Callithrix jacchus: one gene and its partners. The protein of the gene in region 1 purifies or fractionates together with the protein of each later gene. This does not show direct contact. Links are inferred from orthologs where the notes say so. Each region holds a gene or a part of one and is shown in the gene's direction. Other genes may lie near its edges. The genes, in order: PTPDC1, PPP2CA, PPP2R2D, PPP2R2A and MAPK1.

Region 1 (3,515 bases):
TGGCACAGCTCTGGGCTACTGAGATGACTCAGTTATGGGGAGGGGGTGCCATATAGACATTTAATAAAGTTCTATGCAGTAAGGAGCATATAATAATAATACCTCTACAAAAAGTCATTAAGTTATCATCATAATTGTCCTTAAAGTGCGTCTCTATTTATATGGTTTCTTAACACATACTCAAATTTTAAATCATCAAGGAGTGATAAACTGAATAAAAATGTAAGCTTTTCTCATACCAGTCTTCTCTTCTTCACTGTTTAGGTGTTCTAATAGCCTGTTACTTAGTTTTTGCAACAAGAATGACTGCTGACCAAGCAATTATGTTTGTGCGGGCAAAACGACCCAATTCCATACAAACCAGAGGACAGCTCCTCTGTGTAAGGGAATTTACTCAGTTTCTAACTCCTCTCCGCAATATATTCTCTTGCTGTGATCCCAAAGCACATGCTGTCACCTTAGCTCAATATCTAATTCGCCAGCGTCATCTGCTTCATGGTTATGAGGCAAGACTTCTGAAACACGTGCCAAAAATTATCCACCTAGTTTGCAAATTGCTGCTAGACTTAGCTGAGAACAGGCCAGTGATGATGAAGGATGTGTCCGAAGGACCTGGTCTCTCTGCTGAAATAGAAAAGACCATGTCTGAGATGGTCACCATGCAGCTGGATACAGAGTTACTGAGGCCTAGCAGTGATGTGTCCAACCCGTCTAACCCCACTGCAGTGGCAGCAGATTTTGACAATCGAGACGTGGTTTTCTCCAATGAGCAAGAGTTTGACCCCCTTTGGAAGAGGCGGAATGTTGAGTGCCTTCAACCCCTGACTCATCTAAAAAGGCGGCTCAGCTACAGTGACTCAGATTTAAAGAGGGCCGAGAACCTTCTGGAGCAAGGGGAGACTCCACGGACAGTGCCTGCCCAGGTCTTGGTTGGTCGTCACCCCAGGCAGCAGAAGCTCATAAGCCATTGTTATGTCCCACAGTCTCCAGAACCAGACTTACATAAGGAAGCCTTGGTTCGCAGCACACTTTCTTTCTGGAGTCAGTCTATGTTTGGAGGCCTGAAAGGACTCAAAGATAATGGGTCACCAATTTTCCATGGAGGGCTCATTCCAAAGGAAGCACAGCAGAGTGGAGCTTTCTCTGCAGATGTTTCAGGCTCAAACAGCCCTGGGGAGCCCGTTTCACCCAACTTCTCAAATGTCCATAAGGATCCAAACCCTACTCACCAGCAAGTGTCTCACTGTCAGTGTAAAACTCATGGTGTTGGGAGCCCTGGTGCTGTCAGGCAGAACAGCACGACTCCCCGAAGCCCTCTGGACTGTGGCTCCAGGCCCAAAACACAGTTCTTGGTTGAACATGAAATCCAGGACAGTAAAGATCTGTCTGAAGCAGCTTCACACTCTACATTGCAATCTGAATTGAGTGTTGAAGCAAGAAGAATACTGGCGGCCAAAGCCCTAGCAAATTTAAACGAATCTATAGAAAAAGAGGAACTAAAAAGGAAGGTAGAAATGTGGCAGGTATTATTAGTACTTTATTTAATTATAGTTATGTGGGAAATATTTATGTCAGAGCAAAAGTGAAATACATTTTCTCAAACTTCCCAAGTGAAATATGAAGATACATTTGCATAATACTTAACTTTCTAACTTCAGGTTTCTCATCTGTGATGCGAACCTGATGTTACAGAAAAGTCACAGGGTGTTTGTGTGGTTTCATTTAAATCTGCATATGCAGGAAAGCACTTAGCACGATGCTTGACCCGCACAAGGCATTGATATTGGTAGCTTTCTACTTTCTTGCTGGGTCTGTGGAGGCAACTGGCCCACAACAGACAGCATTAGAAACTCACTTGAAGCATCTTTAACCTGAGGCCTGGCAGAGGGAACCATACTTTGAGAACCACTGAGCTAGAGACATAAATAAAATAGTTATTTTCCAAAGCTCATCAGCACTAGTGCTGAGCAAGGTCAGAAGAGTGAGGCTGTCTCCTTGGCATCCTCTCCTTCAGACTTGCCAATCCTGCTCTAATCAGGCAACTATGGGAAATCAGGAGAGCAAGTGGGAGGAACCACAGATTACTGCGTGCCATTCACTTTAGGGTCTTTGGGGTCCATTTCTTAGCTTTTACTTCAATTAGAATATAAATTTTTAACTCTTTTTTTGTGTTGTACTTTTACTAGGGTACAGTTTTAAGTCAGTCACACTTTCTTTGCTCTGAATCAGCACTTGGTCTAGAGAAAAGATAGGCCTCATAAACCTAGCTATCAGAAACAGCCAGACTACCCCAAAAGGAGGCTGACTTGGACAGTTGTCAGCAAGTCCAAGTGACTTGGACACTGAAATCTTGACTTTTGAGCCCAGGTTGGTCACCACCCCAGGCAGGCAGGTTATCTACTGTGAGTTATTTTAATAGCTTGCTTTCATAGTCTGCCATTGATTAAACAAGGCATATAAAATTTCTGAGTGTCAGTATCTCTTCAGATACAGAGGCATGAAAATTTAGAGCTTCACACTAACTGATAACTATATGATGAGAGAACTTTTGATAAAAATTGTGTTCCTCAGAATTGTGTTTCGCCTATCCAATAGTTAAATGTATTGCTTTCTCCCAAAATGAATTATTTTATTTCCTACTCCAAACTGAAAAAGTCATTCAGTCAGCAAATGTTTCCTGGGCATTACAGTGTGTTAAGAGTTAGCAAGCAAGAGAGTCTTCCGTTTTAGATGAAAATCTTGCACCCCCACTCCTGGGTCAGCCGCAGTGCCCATGTGCGCTCTGCCTGTGGTGATGAAGAATTCAGGACTTGGTTTGGGCCAGACTGTATGTAGCATATATGAAAGCATTTTCTGGAGGTGAACACAGGCCTTTTATCAGGAGAGTTTTTCATTTCTATATTTTATTTTAGGACTTTTAGTAATCAAAACAATAAGTTGAATTCTGGAAAAGAATAAAGTGAACATGATTTGAATGGCATAATGGTACCTAAGCCTGTACACAACCATCTCACATGTATTATTTCAGGTGATTTTTCACAGTTAGAGAACGTATCTGTGAGGCAGATGATACTATTTCTACATTCTTGTTAATCTTAAGAATTCAGTATCACAGATGGGGATACTAAAGGTCACAGAGGTTAGAGGGTAAGTGACTTGCTCAGGGTCATATGGCATACATGTGGCAGAGTTAGGGTACAGCTCATGTGTTTAACACTTTCCATTATCCCAGGATTCTTGGCTAACCTCACTGGAAAGCCTCAGGAAATATCATGATAGATAGCCATTTTGCTAGGAGGGTTTTTGAGTAATGTCAGTTCTGCCCAGCTTGTCTTCTTCATAAGATTGAATAAAGAGCTTTGTTACATACATGATCTGTGCAACAGGAAGGACTATGAATAACAAAGTATTAGCGTATTCATAACATAATAAAGAGAAACCAGGGTCCTTGTGGTGTAGCAGAAGCAGCACAGACTGTGGAGTGAGGCAGAACTGGATATGATGAATACCCCCTT
Region 2 (4,279 bases), on another chromosome or scaffold:
GGTATGAAGGGAAAGCAGAATTAACAATTTCCAGCCCAGGAGGCCAAGCCAGTTGGCCTCGCCAAACAGGTTGTCTTGGATAAAGGAGGATTTTCAGTCTTGCTATTGGCTGCTGGGGCCTCCAGTGCCTTCTTCAGCCTGTTGGTGGGGATGATGCCCTCAGAGCCGCAGAGTGAGCACTCTCCTTCCGAGCACTGCTGAGCACTTGGTGTGGAAGAGTTGGCTGATACTGAGGGTGGGGCGCCTGGAAAAGGCGACCAGGTTCAGCTCTTGCCTTTCCCTTTATGGCTAAATGTTCTTTGGAAAGCTTCTATATCTGTCAAATTCGGGGGCATCATGATCTCTGTCTATCCCAAACCATATTTAGCCCATACTGTTGAGAATACAAGCTCCAGGGCTGGTCATCCGTCTGGATTACCCCTCTGGATCTGGCACATAGTTGGCGCTCTATGGAACCAGATGTGTATGTAAAAGCAGGGACAATGGAATGTGAAAACGTTTTGCAAACTCCAAAGCGATTCACAACCAGACAGAGATTCAATCCCAGGGTATGCAAGCTCTCTTTAAAGCGCGGATCACATCTGCTTCTAACGCCATCGGGACGCGGTCAGGACAGGTGCATCCATCTTCTATGGGATTCTCCTCTAGAAAGTAGGCCAGGGAGGGCAGGGGCTGAGGGTCTCATTCCCAAGGGGAATCAAACTTGGAGGAAAGCAACCATCGGCGAGGAGCCGTGCACCTGGAACCAAGCCGCGGTTTGAGGCTCAAAGAAAAGCCCAAACCTCGCCATCGCCATCGCGCCCGACGAGACACCTAGGTCAGGGGACTGGTGTGTGCCGGGGAAGTCAGGTGCACTGCGCGGCACTCCCACGGTAGGCACTCGCTCCTCCACCTACGAGTGACCTAATTACACCAACCGCGCCCAGAGGTGGGGGTGGTTATTCCAACCAGGCGGCCACTCGCTGCCCATTCCTGCCCCCGAGATGCGGGAAACCCACACAATTCCAGCGCTGTTGCACCCCGGAGGAGCCATGGGGTCGCAATTCTCGCGACTGCCGGGCCCCAGACGAGGAGCTGAATTCATCACCAGAACAGCCTTCCCAGGGGAACCAGTTACAGACAGACAGTAACCCCCACTTCCATCCGGTCTGCGTCTGCGCGTGGCCCAATCTCTCACCTCTCGGGGCGTAGCGCTAAGGGATTAGTCCGGTTCGCCGCTGTGCGCATTGCGCACGCTCAAACTCCATCCTTCCCTTCCCCCACCACCCGCCCTCCGGGAGCCACGCCCTAAAAGCGAAGGCGACTGTTACCAGCCGGCTAAGTCGCGCCTGCGCTTTGACCCCCAGTTAGCGCCCCCAACTCCGGTAGTGCGGCCGCCGGGGCTGGGCATCGCAGTTGCGCAGCTCGCTCCCGGTCCCTTTTCCCGTCCGCTCCCCGCCACCTCCTAACGCCGGCGTGACGTCACCACGCCAGGCGGCCGCCATTACAGAGAGCCGATCTCTGGTGCCGGAGCGAGCGGAGGAGGAGGCGCAACGGCCGACGGCCGAGTATTGCGGTGAGAGCCAGCGGGCCAGCGCCAGCCTCAGCAGCCGCCAGAAGTACACGAGGAGCCGGCGGCGGCGTGTGCGTGTGGCCCGTGTGCGGGCGGCGGCGCGGGAGCAGCGCGGAGCCACAGCCGGCTGGGGCGGGAGGCATCATGGACGAGAAGGTGTTCACCAAGGAGCTGGACCAGTGGATCGAGCAGCTGAACGAGTGCAAGCAGCTGTCCGAGTCCCAGGTCAAGAGCCTCTGCGAGAAGGTGAGGTGTAGTCTGGGTTCAGGCAGCAGCCGTGGGGCAGACCCCGCCGAAGAAAGGGAGGCCGTGAGGAGGGTGCAACATGGCGGAGGCCGCCGGCCCGGGCCCCCCGAGTCACCGAGACCGGCGCCCAGCCCGGCCGGCGGCGGCACCCGAACGACCCGGCGCCCCCTGCCTCCCGCGCAGGGATTGGTTGTCGCCGCCAACGCCGCCTAAAATGGCGCCGTTCACCCGGGTCTTGGGCTTTTGAGTCTCCCGGCCTTGGCGCCAGACGAAGTGGCTGGGGTGGGGGAGCGGAGACCCTGTGGGTCAGCATCAGGGACGGTTTTGAGGGTGAGCGGGCTTAGATTCTGCGGCCTGGGAATGGGACCTAGACTTCTCCGGTGGGCTAAGAGGCTTTCCACTTGTACCCAAGGCCTAGTTAGGTCCAAAGCTGTCCAGAGGTACTGTCCCCAAAGGCGGTCTTGTTAGGCCATATCCCAGAACATATGTAAAGGTCACACATCTTTAGTACCCCTGGGTGGTTTGTATTAAACTCATCAAGCGGTCTTCTCCAGAAACCAAAGTGAGGGTGTCTTTAAGAATTTTAAAATTATTCCCTTAACCTAATTTCTACGAAGGTCATGGTAGTTGGAGGAGTGTAACTTATTTTTCATAGTTGGAAGAAATGGGGAATTTGGTAAGTCATAATACATGAGGAGCTTTTGGACTGGAAATCAAGTGTCAGTTGAATATGATTTATTTGCTGACTCAAAGCCTTCTCTAAGCTTAACACACTTGGCATTTTGCCATTTATTTTAAAAATCAACAAAATGGAAGAGCGGTAAATTTTGTATCTTCTCTTTGTTGCAAAAGTTAACTTGATAGAATTTTGTGGTTGCAAGTAGTAGTATTAGTAATAACTGTCGACTAAGATTGTATTCCAAACATTGTGCTTAGTGTTTAAATAATGTCTCACATGCATTGAAAATAGAATGTTGTAGTCCACTTAATAACACTTAAATTTTATATTTTGTATTAGCTAATTCTGTTTTGTTTTCCCCTGGGATTGGGGAAACAGGTAGCCAATTTAGTTATTAGCTGTATGTTGCATTTTTAAATTCTTGTAACTCAGTTTTCTAGAGTACACAAAAATGCTGATCTCTGCTGTGAACACTTTTAAACTTCTCTTTTCAAAAATAACTTTGCAGTATGTCACTTTAGTACAGAATAGTGGAGTATCATACTATCATTTTGTATTAGTGAAAAGAATTAATGGAGAACTATTATCCTGATTTGTTTGTGGTGTGATGTGAAAATTAGATTCATGAGTTTGGTGTATGTGTCCATGTTTTAGAAACCATGTTATGAACAATTGGAATTTAAGTACGTCGGATTTAGATTTATTTCTCCCAAGCATGAACAAAACTACTACTAGTTGATGAGGTAGCACATCATCTTGGAGATGTATTTTAATGGTAGCAAGGTATTGAATCTCCTGTTTCTTTACCAACCTCACATCAAATGAGGTTGGTATTTATTTTAAAGGTTTAAAATTGGCCTGAGATTATACAGTCAATTCCTTTTTAAATTAGTAGTGTGTTTAATATTGAGCACCTATTGAAGCTCCAAGATTGCATACTCTTTTGAGCGGAATGAAAATAAATGAAGACTAAGTATGCTTATTGTTGAGGAACTATGAATCTAGTTGGAAGGAAAAGCATGGTATGGAAATGTGTGGGAGATAGAGCATGGAAGTAGAGGGTTTGTGTTGGAAACTATGGAAGATAATAAGATAATACTGGATGCTAAAGTGGGGTGGGTGAAGCTAATGCATCGTTATTACTTTCCACATCTTTGTAAAACTAACATATAGTGAAGTAAATCTCCATTGCTTGCTCAGCTTACGCAAATTTTAGTTCTGAGTGCCAAAAAAGATGGAAATAATATTTGAGAGTAGATGTTAGATAAAAGTTTCCGTGGAATGGGTCCTTTTTGGTGGACATCATTATACGACCTTAATACTGTTTATAACTTGTAATTATTTCAACTTTCAGGAGCTTATTCAAACCAAATTAATTTGAAGACAGGTTTTTGGGTATGTGAAACCCATGAACTGATATTTTTTGTTCAAGTCTTTCTAGTAAAACAAAAGCTGTCTCTCACTGTTTATATTTGTGTGCCAGTGGCATCTCTGGGTGAAAGGTGCATATATGCTTTTTGGTGTGATTGCCTTCTAAAGAGTAATTTTGAAAATATTGAGGGCTAATTTTTTTGATTAACATATAATAGTAGTATTTTGGGAGGAAAAGATAGTTGTTTGAGAATAGTTGGCAATTTCTTCACTTACAAGAAGGAACGATAATATAAAAAAGCCTTCTACCCACCTAAAGATGCCTGATTTAAATGAAAGACTTTAATAGTAAAGGTAGATGTATACTGTGAGAAGTCATTGTTACTAAAAAAAAAATCCTGAGGCCATTATTTTGTTATCCCATCAACAAT
Region 3 (3,515 bases), on another chromosome or scaffold:
TGGGGTAGGTGAGTGGGTTGGTTGGTTGGTTAATAGGTTGGGTGGTTGGTTAATCAGTTGGGTGGTTGGTTGAGTGATTTGGTTGGGGTGGGTGGGTGGGTTGGTTAGTTGGTTAATGGTTGGGTGGGTGGTTGGGGTGGTTGGTTGGCTGGCTTTTAATGAGATTTCAGCCCCATTACACTATTGTTTATCAAGTGAAGACCGAGTGAGCAAGCCCATTCCACATTAGTCTTTGGAAGTGCCACACAGAAGGCCGCTGCTAACACACGTGCCCCTAGGAATGATGCTGGGTCTGTTCTGGTGCCATTTCTCCAGCTTTGCTGTGCAGGGCGGGTGCACCTGGGGTTAGGCACTCTCCAGGAGGAGTGTCCTCAGACCTGTCACATCCATACTACCGCTGTATTTCCTGAGTTCATCAAAGCTGGGAAGGGCTGTGGCATTTGCTGAAAATCTAGCTTATAGGGTCCTAATTTGAACCAGGATGTTTTCATCTAAATTGTGGGTGACGTCTGTCACACAGGACCGCTGCTCTTGCGTCCGTGGATTAGTGTATATTGTTCTTAGTGATAGTGACAGTAGCTATGCAGTTCCATCATGAAACTGCTAATCCTAAATGAGAAGTGAGATAGACACCCCGAGGGCGGGCACTGATTCTAAACTGGAAGTGATGGGACCCCAAGGGCGGGCACTGATTCTAAACTGGAAGTGATGGGACCCTGAGGGTGGGCACTGATTCTAAACTGGAAGTGATGGGACCCCGAGGGCGGGCACTGATTCTAAACTGGAGGTAGGTGATGGGACCCCGAGGGCGGGCACTGATTCTAAACTGGTAGTGATGGGACCCCAAGGGCGGGCACTGATTCTAAACTGGAGGTAGGTGATGGGACCCTGAGGGTGGGCACTGATTCTAAACTGGAAGTGATGGGACCCCGAGGGCAGGCACTGATTCTAAACTGGTAGTGATGGGACCCCAAGGGCGGGCACTGATTCTAAACTGGTAGTGATGGGACCCCGAGGGCGGGCACTGATTCTAAACTGGAAGTGATGGGACCCCAAGGGCGGGCACTTGACCTGCTCCAGCCTTGTCCATCTCTGCAGCCAGCAGCACCTCCCACCATCTCCCACGGGGTACATGTGCACAACCCACCCTCAGAAACCCCTGTTCCTCCTGATGGGACCCCGCCACCACCCTCAAGCTCACGTGCTTGTTTTGAGAAAACAGTAGGCCTTTATTAGGCCCAGTCTTGGTTTTATTTAAGGCTGCTTTTGTAGGTTTCGCCTAAATAAAACAGGTATAATAGGTGGCCCTACTGAAGGCATGTGAGAAGTGTAGTTATTTCATTAGTCAGTACTCGGAGAAGAGACCACAGACTACATAATTCTCTACATTGACTTAGGTCAGTATTTGAGATCTTACAGTTCAGAGTGGGCTGTTAATGCATTCTAACCCTAACTGGGGAAGAGTCAGAAATGTTGCTGCTTTTAAATTTTTTGTCTAAATCATTTTAGTGCCAGGAAAGGGATGTAATTAAAAGAAGGAGTCTTGGCCAGGCGCGGGGGCTCATACCTGTAATCCCAGCACTTTGTGAGGCTGAGATGGGAGGGTCACTTGAGCCCCGAAGTTCAAGACCAGCCTGGGCAACATAGCAAGACCCCATCTCTAAAAATGAAAACATATTATTTTGTATGTAAATGAAATTTTTTTTAAATAAAGGAAGGAATCTTTGTAAGTATCGTGTGTTTTGATTAATTGGAGGTTTGTTAGAGGATTGTGGCAGGTGTGTGTTTTTAAGCCTGGTAGACCTGACCCTTTCTCTAGAGACTCGAAGGGTGTGGTCAGCACTAACTGTGTTAAAATCAGGGAAGTCTCACTGTACATACTGTTTCAAGTTTATTTTCTATAAAATCAGCCAGACAAGACTCAGCTGAGAGATTTTTTTCCCCTAAGCTTTCACGGTTCTTCCTTTTGGTTTCTAATTACAAGAATAACTAAAGATCCTATCATTAATTTTTTTGTTTTGATTTTAAAGCTTATGCTTTTCTTCCAGCTGGATGTTAGTGAGATGCAGGCCCTTTTCCTTTTTTCACGTGTGATGCTATTCCTCGTGCCTGAGCTCTCGCCTCTGACCACAGGCGCCCTCCGGCCAGCACCCTCTTCTCTGTCCTTTCCATTTCAGTGTGATTGGAAATGGACTTTCCCAGCACTCAACACAGAAATGGGTACGGGAGGTACCTTTTACTTGTTTTAACCACAAATGAAGTATAATATATAATACATACCCCATAATAATACATGTGCCCCATAAGTGACCAGCTCCATTTGACTGGACATGCCCATATAGCCAGCCCCAGACTGAGACATGGAACATCCTCAGCTCCCCAGGGCCCTCCTGTGCACCCTCCTGTGCAGTCCCTGGAGCCGGCAGAGGCTTGTGGGGTTTGCTCCGAGAAGCATACTCCTGGTGCAGTGAGGGAGGGTTTGTGCATCCGGCTGCAAGGAGAGGACAAAGGGAGGGGAAGACTTTGCTGTCCAGCGTCTCAGTGTGGCCACTGGAGGACACACGAGAGGGAGCGAGCGCAGGCCTCAGCGCCCGGGCAGCTTGTTAGCCTGCCAGCTTTTTATTCAGCAGGAACATGTCAGCCTCAGCAATGGAAGCAAGGGGGAAGACTTGGAATAGAGTATTCCATTTTGTAGCCTATTTTCATAACTGCTAAGTGGTTACTTAGAGGTATTGCCTGTACGCAGTTCTTACTTAGCCATGGACGCAAACTTGTCCTCCTCTGTTATCTACTGTAAGTGTTTTAATTCTATGCCACTGCGATCTTTGTTTTGAATTCCTGTTTCCTTCCATTTTTAGGTCCCAATATTGAAGCCCATGGATCTAATGGTAGAAGCGAGTCCACGGCGAATTTTTGCAAATGCTCACACATATCATATAAATTCCATTTCAGTAAATAGTGATCATGAAACGTATCTTTCTGCAGATGACCTGAGAATTAATTTATGGCACTTAGAAATCACAGATAGAAGCTTTAGTATCCTTCCTCAGAGGGACACTGGCATCTTCCTTGAGGCTGCTCTTTAGATGGTGATTTCTCTTGTTCTTTACACGCCTGTATCTGAGTCTAGTCTCGTAAATGTCATTGCTGCACAGTGGCCTGCGATGTAAGTTCTCTGTGAATTGAAACATTTGTTCCTAAAAATACGGATTTCCTTCTACGTTTGGAAACAGTTCTCTGAAGTCCACTGCCTGCCTGGTTTAATCAGAGATAGTTTTAAATAGGCTGCATTTGAAAAACCAACATTACTTGTTCTTTTTTTATTTATTTTTTTTCCTGAATTTGCTGATGGATGATAGAAAATATTGGCTTAGGTTAGAGTGGCATTTAATCACCCATCTGAGCAGCAGCTTCCGGGAGAACCCGTGTTCTCCTGAGGCTGTGCATGGTCTGGGGGTCCTCGCCATCCTCACGTGGGCTCCTTTCTAGCTAGCAGCCAGGGAGCAGGGGGCATG
Region 4 (4,185 bases), on another chromosome or scaffold:
CTCCAAACGCCTTTCTCACTCCATTCAGCCTTAGGCCAAATTCTGGATGCTTTTGCAGGTGGTCTTCATGTGTAAAATGTGCATATCTATCTCCTAGGAGTATTGTGGAGATGGAATGAGATATGTAAAGTGTGCCGTATATAGCAACTGCATCATTAGAGCATCTTTCAGCAGAAGTGCACATCCCCTCTTAGCTGATGACTGGCATTTCCTGTTCATTTTTTTCCTTCTACCTCTTAACCTTACTGACGATGCTTTCAATACAAATCTAATAATAACGGCAACTAACATTTATCATGTGCTCAAATTAAGTCATTTCATCTCACCAACAATCCTATCAGGTAGGACTGTCATCTTCATCTGCTGAGCCTTGGAATCACATTAGACAGCCTGGCTTCAGAGCCCAGCTTTTTTTTTTGGTTTGGTTTAGATTTGAAAGGAATGCATTCTGTCGCCCAGGCTGACAGCTCACTGCAGTCTTGACCTGCTGGGCTCAAGCAGTTCTCCCACCGCAGCCTCCTGGTAGCTGAAACTATAGGCACGCCATCATACCTGGCTAATTAAAAAAAAAAAAAAAAATTATTTCTTTTTTTGGTAGAGATGGGTCTCCCTATGTTCTCCAGGCTGAACTTGGAACTCCTGGCCTCAAGTGATCCTCCCGCCTCTGGCTTCCAAAGTGCTGGCACTACAGGCCTGAGCCACCGCGCCCCACCCTGAGCCCAGCTCTTAAGCACGGATTCCACCATTGTTTATTTAGCTGGAGAGACCCAAGCTACTTCTCGGGCCATACCCTTCTCATCGCAAACTCAGGTTTCTGTTAGAAACCACCCTTAGTGGCCGCAGTGCCCAGGACTCCCGTCTTGGTTCCTGGGGCCCACGCGAAGGTCATTTAATTCACCCAGATGGAACCAGCCCAAGCGTGTCCCTCTGAACCCCGTGAACTTTCATCCCGGCTGAGCAGCGAGTCTGCACTGCTGTCCCTTCCTTTGTGGAGTCAGGGCTGGCGCAAAGCGACACTTTCCTAAGTAGCAATACGGGTATTCTCAAAAAAGGCACAAGACCCCAAGAATTCCTGCAGACGAGCACGTTAACTGGACAGCTGAGCCCGCCCCAGAGCCCCGGCGCTAGCGCGAGGGGCTGGGACACCGCGAGGCGCAGACAGCCGCGGCCCGGCGCAGGAGGAACGGGCAGAGGGGGCGCCACCGCGAGACGCGGGCGCGTCACAGGCCGCACCGGCCAGGACGCGGAGGGCGGGGCAAGAGCGCAGCAGGAAGGGGGCGTGGTCAGGAGCCCGCCCGGCCTCTCCCCCGCCCCTCCCCCTCTGCTCTCCGCCCAGCCCGGCGGCTCCGCCCCCTTGGTGACGTCACTGACCAGGCCAGCCGGCGCCATTTTGAAAGTGGAGTCGCCTGCCCCTGCCGCTGCCGCCGCCGCCGTCGCTGTCGTAGCCGCCGCCGCCGCTGCCGGAGAAAGAGCACGAGCGGGGAAGCCCTAGAGTGAAATCTAGCATCCTGCCGGCTGCTCTGCCCGCCCCTCCTTCCTTTTCCCCCAGCCCCTGTCCCCTCCCCCCGCAGGTGCCATCCGCCGCCATCCGCCCTCTCTACCCCCCCATCCCCAGGTGAGGGGGGTGAGTTCAGGAAGCGGAGACCCCGAGGAACCCCGCAGGGTCACCATTTGCAGCGCAACATGGCAGGTAAAGGAGAAATTCCCCTTGCCCCCTGACAAGGCACCGTTTCCTTCTTCCTCCCTCCATCACCCCCTAGCGACCGCCCGCGCCTTGCGCGGAGCCACGGGGCGCCCCTCGGGTTTGAGGGAGTGGGGTCCAGGGGGGTGGGGTGGAGGCGGGGAGGACTCCGGGGAGGCGAGTGGTCGCGGCGAGAGCCACTGGGCTTGGAGAACGGAGCTGGCGCCGTGGCGGGGGTGGGGGTGGGGTGTGCCGGCGAGCTTGGGGTGAGGCGTGGGTGGGGCGGGGTGGGGGCGCGTGCAGATTTGTCTCTCCCGCTCGGGAGCCGGGTGGATCCTCTCCTACCTCGCCCCCCGTCTTTATTTTCATTTTATCCTGCAGGTCTTCATTTAATTTCTATTTCCCCCCCTGCTGCAAACCTTCTTGGGTGTATATACACATTATTTTGCACTGAGAAAGAAGAGCGCCTTACAAGTTAAAATGCAGTGGGGCCATATGTGTCTTTTTTTTCCCCCACTGTGGATGCCAATATTTTTGAGATTGGAAGCCTAAATTTTTTGTTTCAAACCATTTCCTTTCCGTTTCTTTCCCTCTTACCACCGAAGAGTGCAAGGCCTTTCATGTACAGCAAGTTGCATGAAAAACATAATTTCAACTTTCCGTTTAACATGTTAGCTTTTTTGCAGATGTCCTTTTCCCAAAAGGGTTTGGTAGAGTTAGTTAAAATAGTTGCGGAGTTCAGAGATATAAATAGCAAAGAGGAGAGAGATTTAGGTAGAAGCTTTGGAGGGGGGGGGAAAGGATGTAGAGAGAAAACCAGTTTGGAAATAAATTTAGCAAGGAATAGGGGTGACAGGGGAGAGAGAAGTAATGTAATTGCTTTGAGAATTCTTTTTGTACATGTTGGTGTTGCTAAGTCTTTTCCTTCATGTAGTAGAATGGGTTCCAGATTTAGATTCAGTGTCTTTCTCCCTAGAGTCTCAGGACGTTTTCACCATTTCGTTCTCAGTACTTGCACGTGAAATAGAAACATTCCGAGATTAGACCAGTTTACCGTGCTGTATTCATTACTTAGAGAATTAAACCATTTGAAAAAGTTAACGTGTCGGATTGACTTACGGTTTGCTATAAAACAAGTTGCTTGTTGGCCGTGTTTAATGATGAAATGAGATTAAAATTGTTTTGCACGAGATGACATACTAGCGAAATGAATTATTTGCCAGGTCCTTCGGAGTGGAGGGCTGAGGTGAAGGGAGGCAGAACAGGCTTCCTTTGACAGTCTCTTTAGCAGCATTCATTTTGGTTTCTTTTCCTCTCTGTCTGGAGCCAGTGATTTGCTGGTAATGAATGCAAAGAAATGGGTGTAGTGTTTGCTGTGTGTGCACTTTGGTGATAGGGTTCATATGAATCATTACTCCTCACCCAGGCAGTAATGTTCCCGAAGTTTTCTCTCCGTTCTATGTTTCATGGTAGTTTAACCTTATTAACTCTTCTGCAGGTTTTTTGTACACTTAAAAAGAAAACTCTTTAACTCTTGGTATTTACACTTTTCTGGTAGGTCTTGCCTGAGTGTAAGCCTTTTAAGATATTTGAGAGGAAGGGAAGTTTGTGAACAGATGTATGATGACCACAGAACATACGCCTTTAAAGATTTCATACCTGGAACCTTTTTTTCTTTTTAATACAGTACTAACTATTGGGGACTAACCTTTTTCCAAAGTGGTGCTTTTGGTGGTGGTTGTATGTGTGGGCAAAACTAAGCTGTTAGTGTCATGATCATGCCAACCGTGGATTGTTTACGAGAGTCAACATGAGCAGAACTCAGTTTTAATTGGTATGTTTTCTTTCCAGGAGCTGGAGGAGGGAATGATATTCAGTGGTGTTTTTCTCAGGTGAAAGGAGCAGTAGATGATGATGTAGCAGAAGGTAAGAAAGCATTTAATAATGCAAAATTTGGATATATAATTTTTTCAGAAATCTTTCCTGAGGGATTTCCTTGAAGCCAAGACTATTAAAAATTCAAGATGATTTTGTGTTTATTGTCCAAGAAATGTAAGAACAGTTTTAAAAGTTACGTTTCTGAAATACAGCCTTAAGTTTCTTTTGTAATTTATGCCTTGTTTTTATTTTTTACTCTGAATTTACGTGAAAGGAGCGATAGATGATTAGACATATAGAATCGTCACATGAAAGCTCTGAGCTCCATATAAGGGTTTCTTTGTTATATAAATTCCACATAGAAATAAATGGTGATGCATTTTTGTGTTTGTACATTGTTTTTAGATAAGTAAATTGAAATAGGTGCCATCAACATTTGGCTCAGAAACATTCTTAGCAGCATCTCTAATTTTTATGGGAAGATTCTTAACCTCTCTTGACTTTGCCTGCTGTGGAATGTAGTGCTGATTGGCATAGTCTGTGAAGAGATGACAGCTCACATTATTCATTTTGTTGTCTTTCTGGTAATTAGGTGGATAAGACAGTAACTGCTATGCATATATCGC
Region 5 (3,970 bases), about 120 Mb from region 1:
CCTTTCAAGTAGCTGGGATTACAGGCATTCACCACCTCGCCTGGCTAGTTTTTATATTTTAATAGAGACGGGGTTTCACCATATTGTCCAGGCTGGTCTTGGACTCCTGACCTCGTGATCTGCCCACCTCGGCCTCCCAAAGTGCTGGGATGACAGGCGTGAGCCACCGTGCCTGCCTTTAATTTTTGTATTTTTAGTGGAGACCTGGCTCTCAAACTCCTGACCTCAAGTGATCCGCCCGCCGAGGCCTCCCAAAGTACTGGGATGATAGGTGAGAGCCACCGCGCCCTCCCTTCTGCTTTATATTTCTTCACAGTACTTACCACAGCTTGAGTATTAAATGTATTTGTCTGGCCGGGCGCCGTGGCTCATGCCTGTCATCCCAGCACTTTGGGAGGCTGAGGCAGGCGGATCACTTGAGGTCGGGAGTTCGACAGCAGCCGGACCAACATGGTGAAACGCTGTCTCTAAAAAATAAATTAATTAAAAACAAACAAGTAAATAAATAAACGCTGTCTCTAATAAATAAATAAATAAATAAATAAATGTCTCCTCTCTCTAAAATGTAACTTCTATGAGGGTGGATCCCCAGGAACATAGAGTGTGGTCAACAAACATCTGAGCTAAGCTCTGATTCTCCTATCCTCTCAGTGTCTCCTTTTAATCTAGACAATTGTGCTTCTCACTTTCTCAGTATGGAAATATCTTTCTCAGTCTGGGTCATGTCTTTCGGTTTCTGCCCCAGTGCCAACGCCTCTTAGTTTATCAGCGTGTGGGCCACGGATTAGCAGAGGCCTGAGCTGTGGCGCCGCCGGGCTACGGCGCGTCGTCAAGCCTCAGGCACAGCTCCGAGCCCTCGCTGGTTCTGTTAGGACCCTGCTCCGGCGCGGGCCCCGGCCACATGTCACTTCAGTCCCATAGGTTCTGCCCCACGTCTGTCTCCCTGAGTCTCTCAAGAGCCGAGTCCCGCGCCTCCGACCCCGCGAATACACGTGACCACGCCCGGGGGTGGCCCCTCAGTCAACGCAGCCGCAGTGCCCCACCCCGAGCCCGTCGCTTCCGCCGGCCCGCCTGGCCCCGCCCCATCCACGAAGAACCAATCTGCACGCACGTTGCTTGGCCCCCTCCCCGGCACTCTCCTCGGCGCGCGCCCCTCCCTCCGCCCGCCCGTCTGTCTGGCAGGCAGGCAGGCAGGCAGTCGGCTCGAGCGGCTGTGGGCTCTTCAGGTCTCCCCCCCGGCGTCTTCCTTCCTCCTCCCGGTCAGCGGCGGCGGCTGCTCCGGCGGCGGCGCGGTCCCTTCGGGAGGGGCGACAGGAGCCGAGCGGCGGCCGCGGAGCGTCGAGTCCAGTGCGGCGGAGGCGGCGGCGGCCCGGCAACCAACATGGCGGCGGCGGCGGCGGCGGGCGCGGGCCCGGAGATGGTCCGCGGGCAGGTGTTCGACGTGGGGCCGCGCTACACCAACCTCTCGTACATCGGCGAGGGCGCCTACGGCATGGTGTGGTGAGTGTCCGTGCCTGGCCACGCCCGACCTCCCCACCACCGGGGGCCGCGGCGGACGCAGCCTCGGCCTCGCCCGTGCCTCGGCCTCGGCAGCCGCGGCGACCTCGAACCCGGACTTCACCGCGGTCCGCGCGCCGGGACTCGGGCGGTGCCCCGGGCCGATTGAGACCCGGGCCCGCGGTCGCTCGGGAAGGGGCGCAGGGAGTGGCGTGGGGGGCGGAGGCCGGAGGCCGGAGGCTGGGTCTCGGGCCCAGGGCGCAACGCGGCCTTTAAAGTCTGGACCCTCGGGAAGGCAACGGAAGCGCCCCCACTCCTCAATTTGCTAACATCATGGCTTGCTTGATTGTAAACTGGGAATTCCATCAGATGCTTGTCGGTGTTGGCGGCGGCTGCTGAGGTCCTGAAAGCGATTTGTCTCCGCGTGTGTGCAGAACACCAAAATAGTCATTTTTTTTCTACTCGCCTTTGCAGCCAACGGCTTTGATTAAATATCCTCAGCGGTGCTAATGGTGGTCTGCGCGCAGGCTTTATAAAATGCATTGCTGACAGCAGTGTTATTTCCGTCTTGAAGTTTTTACTTTAAAGTGGATTTTAATATCACACTATTGGCGTTTCAGGAAGGTTAACTCAGCCTCAGTTTCTTGATTTATTAAAGATCCGTTTAGAGTTGGGCCTAATTTGACTTTTTTTTTTTTTTTAGTCCCCTAGTGAGCTCTTTTACCAGCATAAATGCTCCCAGATGTTTTAGCCCAATTGCTGTGGACTTTAGTGGTCAATAAGTATGCAGCCTTTCTGGAGTTTTTGCAAAATCACATGTAGGCTCCCTCATCTTGATTTAGGTCCCTTAGAAAAGTGAAGTGATGGTGACTGTATTGTTTTTATTAGAGCAAACTAGCTGTAACATTTTGTGCTGGTGAAGACTTGTGGAAGTAGATTCCCTTAAATCACAGTGTCTTTTGTGTTGACCGAAGGAATTAAACCGATATTTTATTGAGCACTTCATGGTAGGTACTGTGCAACATACATGATTTCATTTTATTTGAACAGCCACATTGAAGGAGGAAAAGATGGTGTTATTCCTTTTTTCAGGTGAGAAGGTATTTCAGGTGATAAAGTATTTTGAGGTGAAGTTCAGGATGAGGTAATAGAACTAAAGAGTTATTCTTAAGATTGTAGAGTGAGATTCTACTTCACACACCACACCTCTTTTCAGCTGTTTTTAGGAAAACACCCTGCTTTCCTTAGGGTAATTAATAATTGCAGAATTTTGTGTATTTCACTGTTATAAAGTAAATGTAAGTCTATTTCAGAAGTGTATTCAGATTTCAATCGTCATAATTTTAGAAATGCAATAGAAGGCATGTTTTGCCAAGTATTGCAGCTAGATAGAAAGATTACTTAAAATTTTTTTAAAGAGACTTTAATTGAATCTTTCATATTTTCACTTTTTTTTTTTTGAGATGGAGTCTCGCTCTGTTGCCCAGGCTGGAGTGCAGTGTCAAGATCTCTGCTTACTGCAACCTCTGCCTCCCAGGTTCAAGTGATTCTTCTGCCTCAGCCTCCTGAGTAGCTGGGATTACAGTATTTTCACTTTATTTAGGCGCAAAATGCTGAATACAATTGTAAAAATTAACATGAACTCACAGGTTTAGGAGCCAAGAGAGAATTTAAATTAGGTCGAGCCTAAAAGAAATAAGGCCCTAAAGCCAGGCGGGGTGGCTCAAGCCTGTAATCCCAGCACTTTGGGAGGCTGAGGGGGGTGGATCACAAGGTCAAGAGATCGAGACCATCCTGGTCAACATGGTGAAATCCCGTCTCTACTAAAAATACAAAAAAATTAGCTGGGCATGGTGGCGCGTGCCTGTAATCCCAGCTACTCAGGAGGCTGAGGCAGGAGAATTGCCTGAACCCAGGAGGCGGAGGTTGCAGTGAGCCGAGATCGTGCCATTGTACTCCAGCCTGGGTAACAAGAGCGAAACTCCGTCTCACACACACAAAAAAGAAATAAGGCCCTAAAAAGTAATGGAGAGGAAGTATTGCCAATAACATCATTTCTGTACCATACATCTCACTGTTGTTGCACTCACTGGGAAGTGTGCCCGTGAACGTGTCTCATTATGAGAGGCTCAGAATTTCCCATCATGTCCTTTGGCCCTTTTAACAAAATTAACTTATCTAAAATGTGGACTGAAAAAAGTCTTTTAAGTTTAGGACACATCACTTGAAAAGATACCCCCATCTGATAAGGTTTCCCCTATCTGATAAGGTTTTTACTAGTCTGAAGTTTAGATCTGGGAACTAATTCTGTCAACTGCTGTAGGCTCGTTTGACCTTCTGACTCTCCGTTTGAATGCTAGGTCCTCTTATTATGATTTTCCTTTCTAACTAAAACACAAATGCAAATATAATTGGGTATTTGAATCCTAGATTCAAATTATAGCCTTTTATCAGGTTGATGACATACCCTATT

Evidence for each region.
Region 2: the proteins of PTPDC1 (region 1) and PPP2CA purify together in Homo sapiens (affinity purification with mass spectrometry; 4 studies listed by BioGRID and IntAct, counting the BioPlex papers as one, with this or other methods). This does not show direct contact. The link is inferred for Callithrix jacchus from reciprocal best matches to the Homo sapiens genes PTPDC1 and PPP2CA.
Region 3: the proteins of PTPDC1 (region 1) and PPP2R2D purify together in Homo sapiens (affinity purification with mass spectrometry; 5 studies listed by BioGRID and IntAct, counting the BioPlex papers as one, with this or other methods). This does not show direct contact. The link is inferred for Callithrix jacchus from reciprocal best matches to the Homo sapiens genes PTPDC1 and PPP2R2D.
Region 4: the proteins of PTPDC1 (region 1) and PPP2R2A purify together in Homo sapiens (affinity purification with mass spectrometry; 4 studies listed by BioGRID and IntAct, counting the BioPlex papers as one, with this or other methods). This does not show direct contact. The link is inferred for Callithrix jacchus from reciprocal best matches to the Homo sapiens genes PTPDC1 and PPP2R2A.
Region 5: the proteins of PTPDC1 (region 1) and MAPK1 purify together in Homo sapiens (affinity purification with mass spectrometry; 3 studies listed by BioGRID and IntAct, with this or other methods). This does not show direct contact. The link is inferred for Callithrix jacchus from reciprocal best matches to the Homo sapiens genes PTPDC1 and MAPK1.

The regions. Positions count from the first base shown.
Region 1 is NC_133502.1:71,716,676-71,720,190, forward strand, and holds part of PTPDC1 (protein tyrosine phosphatase domain-containing protein 1), read left to right. Parts: intron 1-264; coding exon 265-1,523; intron 1,524-3,515. UniProt on the Homo sapiens protein: May play roles in cilia formation and/or maintenance.
Region 2 is NC_133503.1:74,102,603-74,106,881, forward strand, and holds the start of PPP2CA (serine/threonine-protein phosphatase 2A catalytic subunit alpha isoform), read left to right. Parts: upstream 1-1,479; 5' UTR 1,480-1,696; coding exon 1,697-1,798; intron 1,799-4,279. UniProt on the Homo sapiens protein: Catalytic subunit of protein phosphatase 2A (PP2A), a serine/threonine phosphatase involved in the regulation of a wide variety of enzymes, signal transduction pathways, and cellular events.
Region 3 is NC_133513.1:125,247,059-125,250,573, forward strand, and holds part of PPP2R2D (serine/threonine-protein phosphatase 2A 55 kDa regulatory subunit B delta isoform), read left to right. Parts: intron 1-2,048; exon of another isoform or gene 2,049-2,220; intron 2,221-2,858; coding exon 2,859-3,036; intron 3,037-3,515. UniProt on the Homo sapiens protein: Substrate-recognition subunit of protein phosphatase 2A (PP2A) that plays a key role in cell cycle by controlling mitosis entry and exit. Involved in chromosome clustering during late mitosis by mediating dephosphorylation of MKI67.
Region 4 is NC_133514.1:15,258,881-15,263,065, reverse strand, and holds the start of PPP2R2A (serine/threonine-protein phosphatase 2A 55 kDa regulatory subunit B alpha isoform), read left to right. Parts: upstream 1-1,372; 5' UTR 1,373-1,683; coding exon 1,684-1,690; intron 1,691-3,532; coding exon 3,533-3,607; intron 3,608-4,185. UniProt on the Homo sapiens protein: Substrate-recognition subunit of protein phosphatase 2A (PP2A) that plays a key role in cell cycle by controlling mitosis entry and exit. Involved in chromosome clustering during late mitosis by mediating dephosphorylation of MKI67.
Region 5 is NC_133502.1:193,829,248-193,833,217, reverse strand, and holds the start of MAPK1 (mitogen-activated protein kinase 1), read left to right. Parts: upstream 1-1,169; 5' UTR 1,170-1,381; coding exon 1,382-1,500; intron 1,501-3,970. UniProt on the Homo sapiens protein: Serine/threonine kinase which acts as an essential component of the MAP kinase signal transduction pathway. MAPK1/ERK2 and MAPK3/ERK1 are the 2 MAPKs which play an important role in the MAPK/ERK cascade.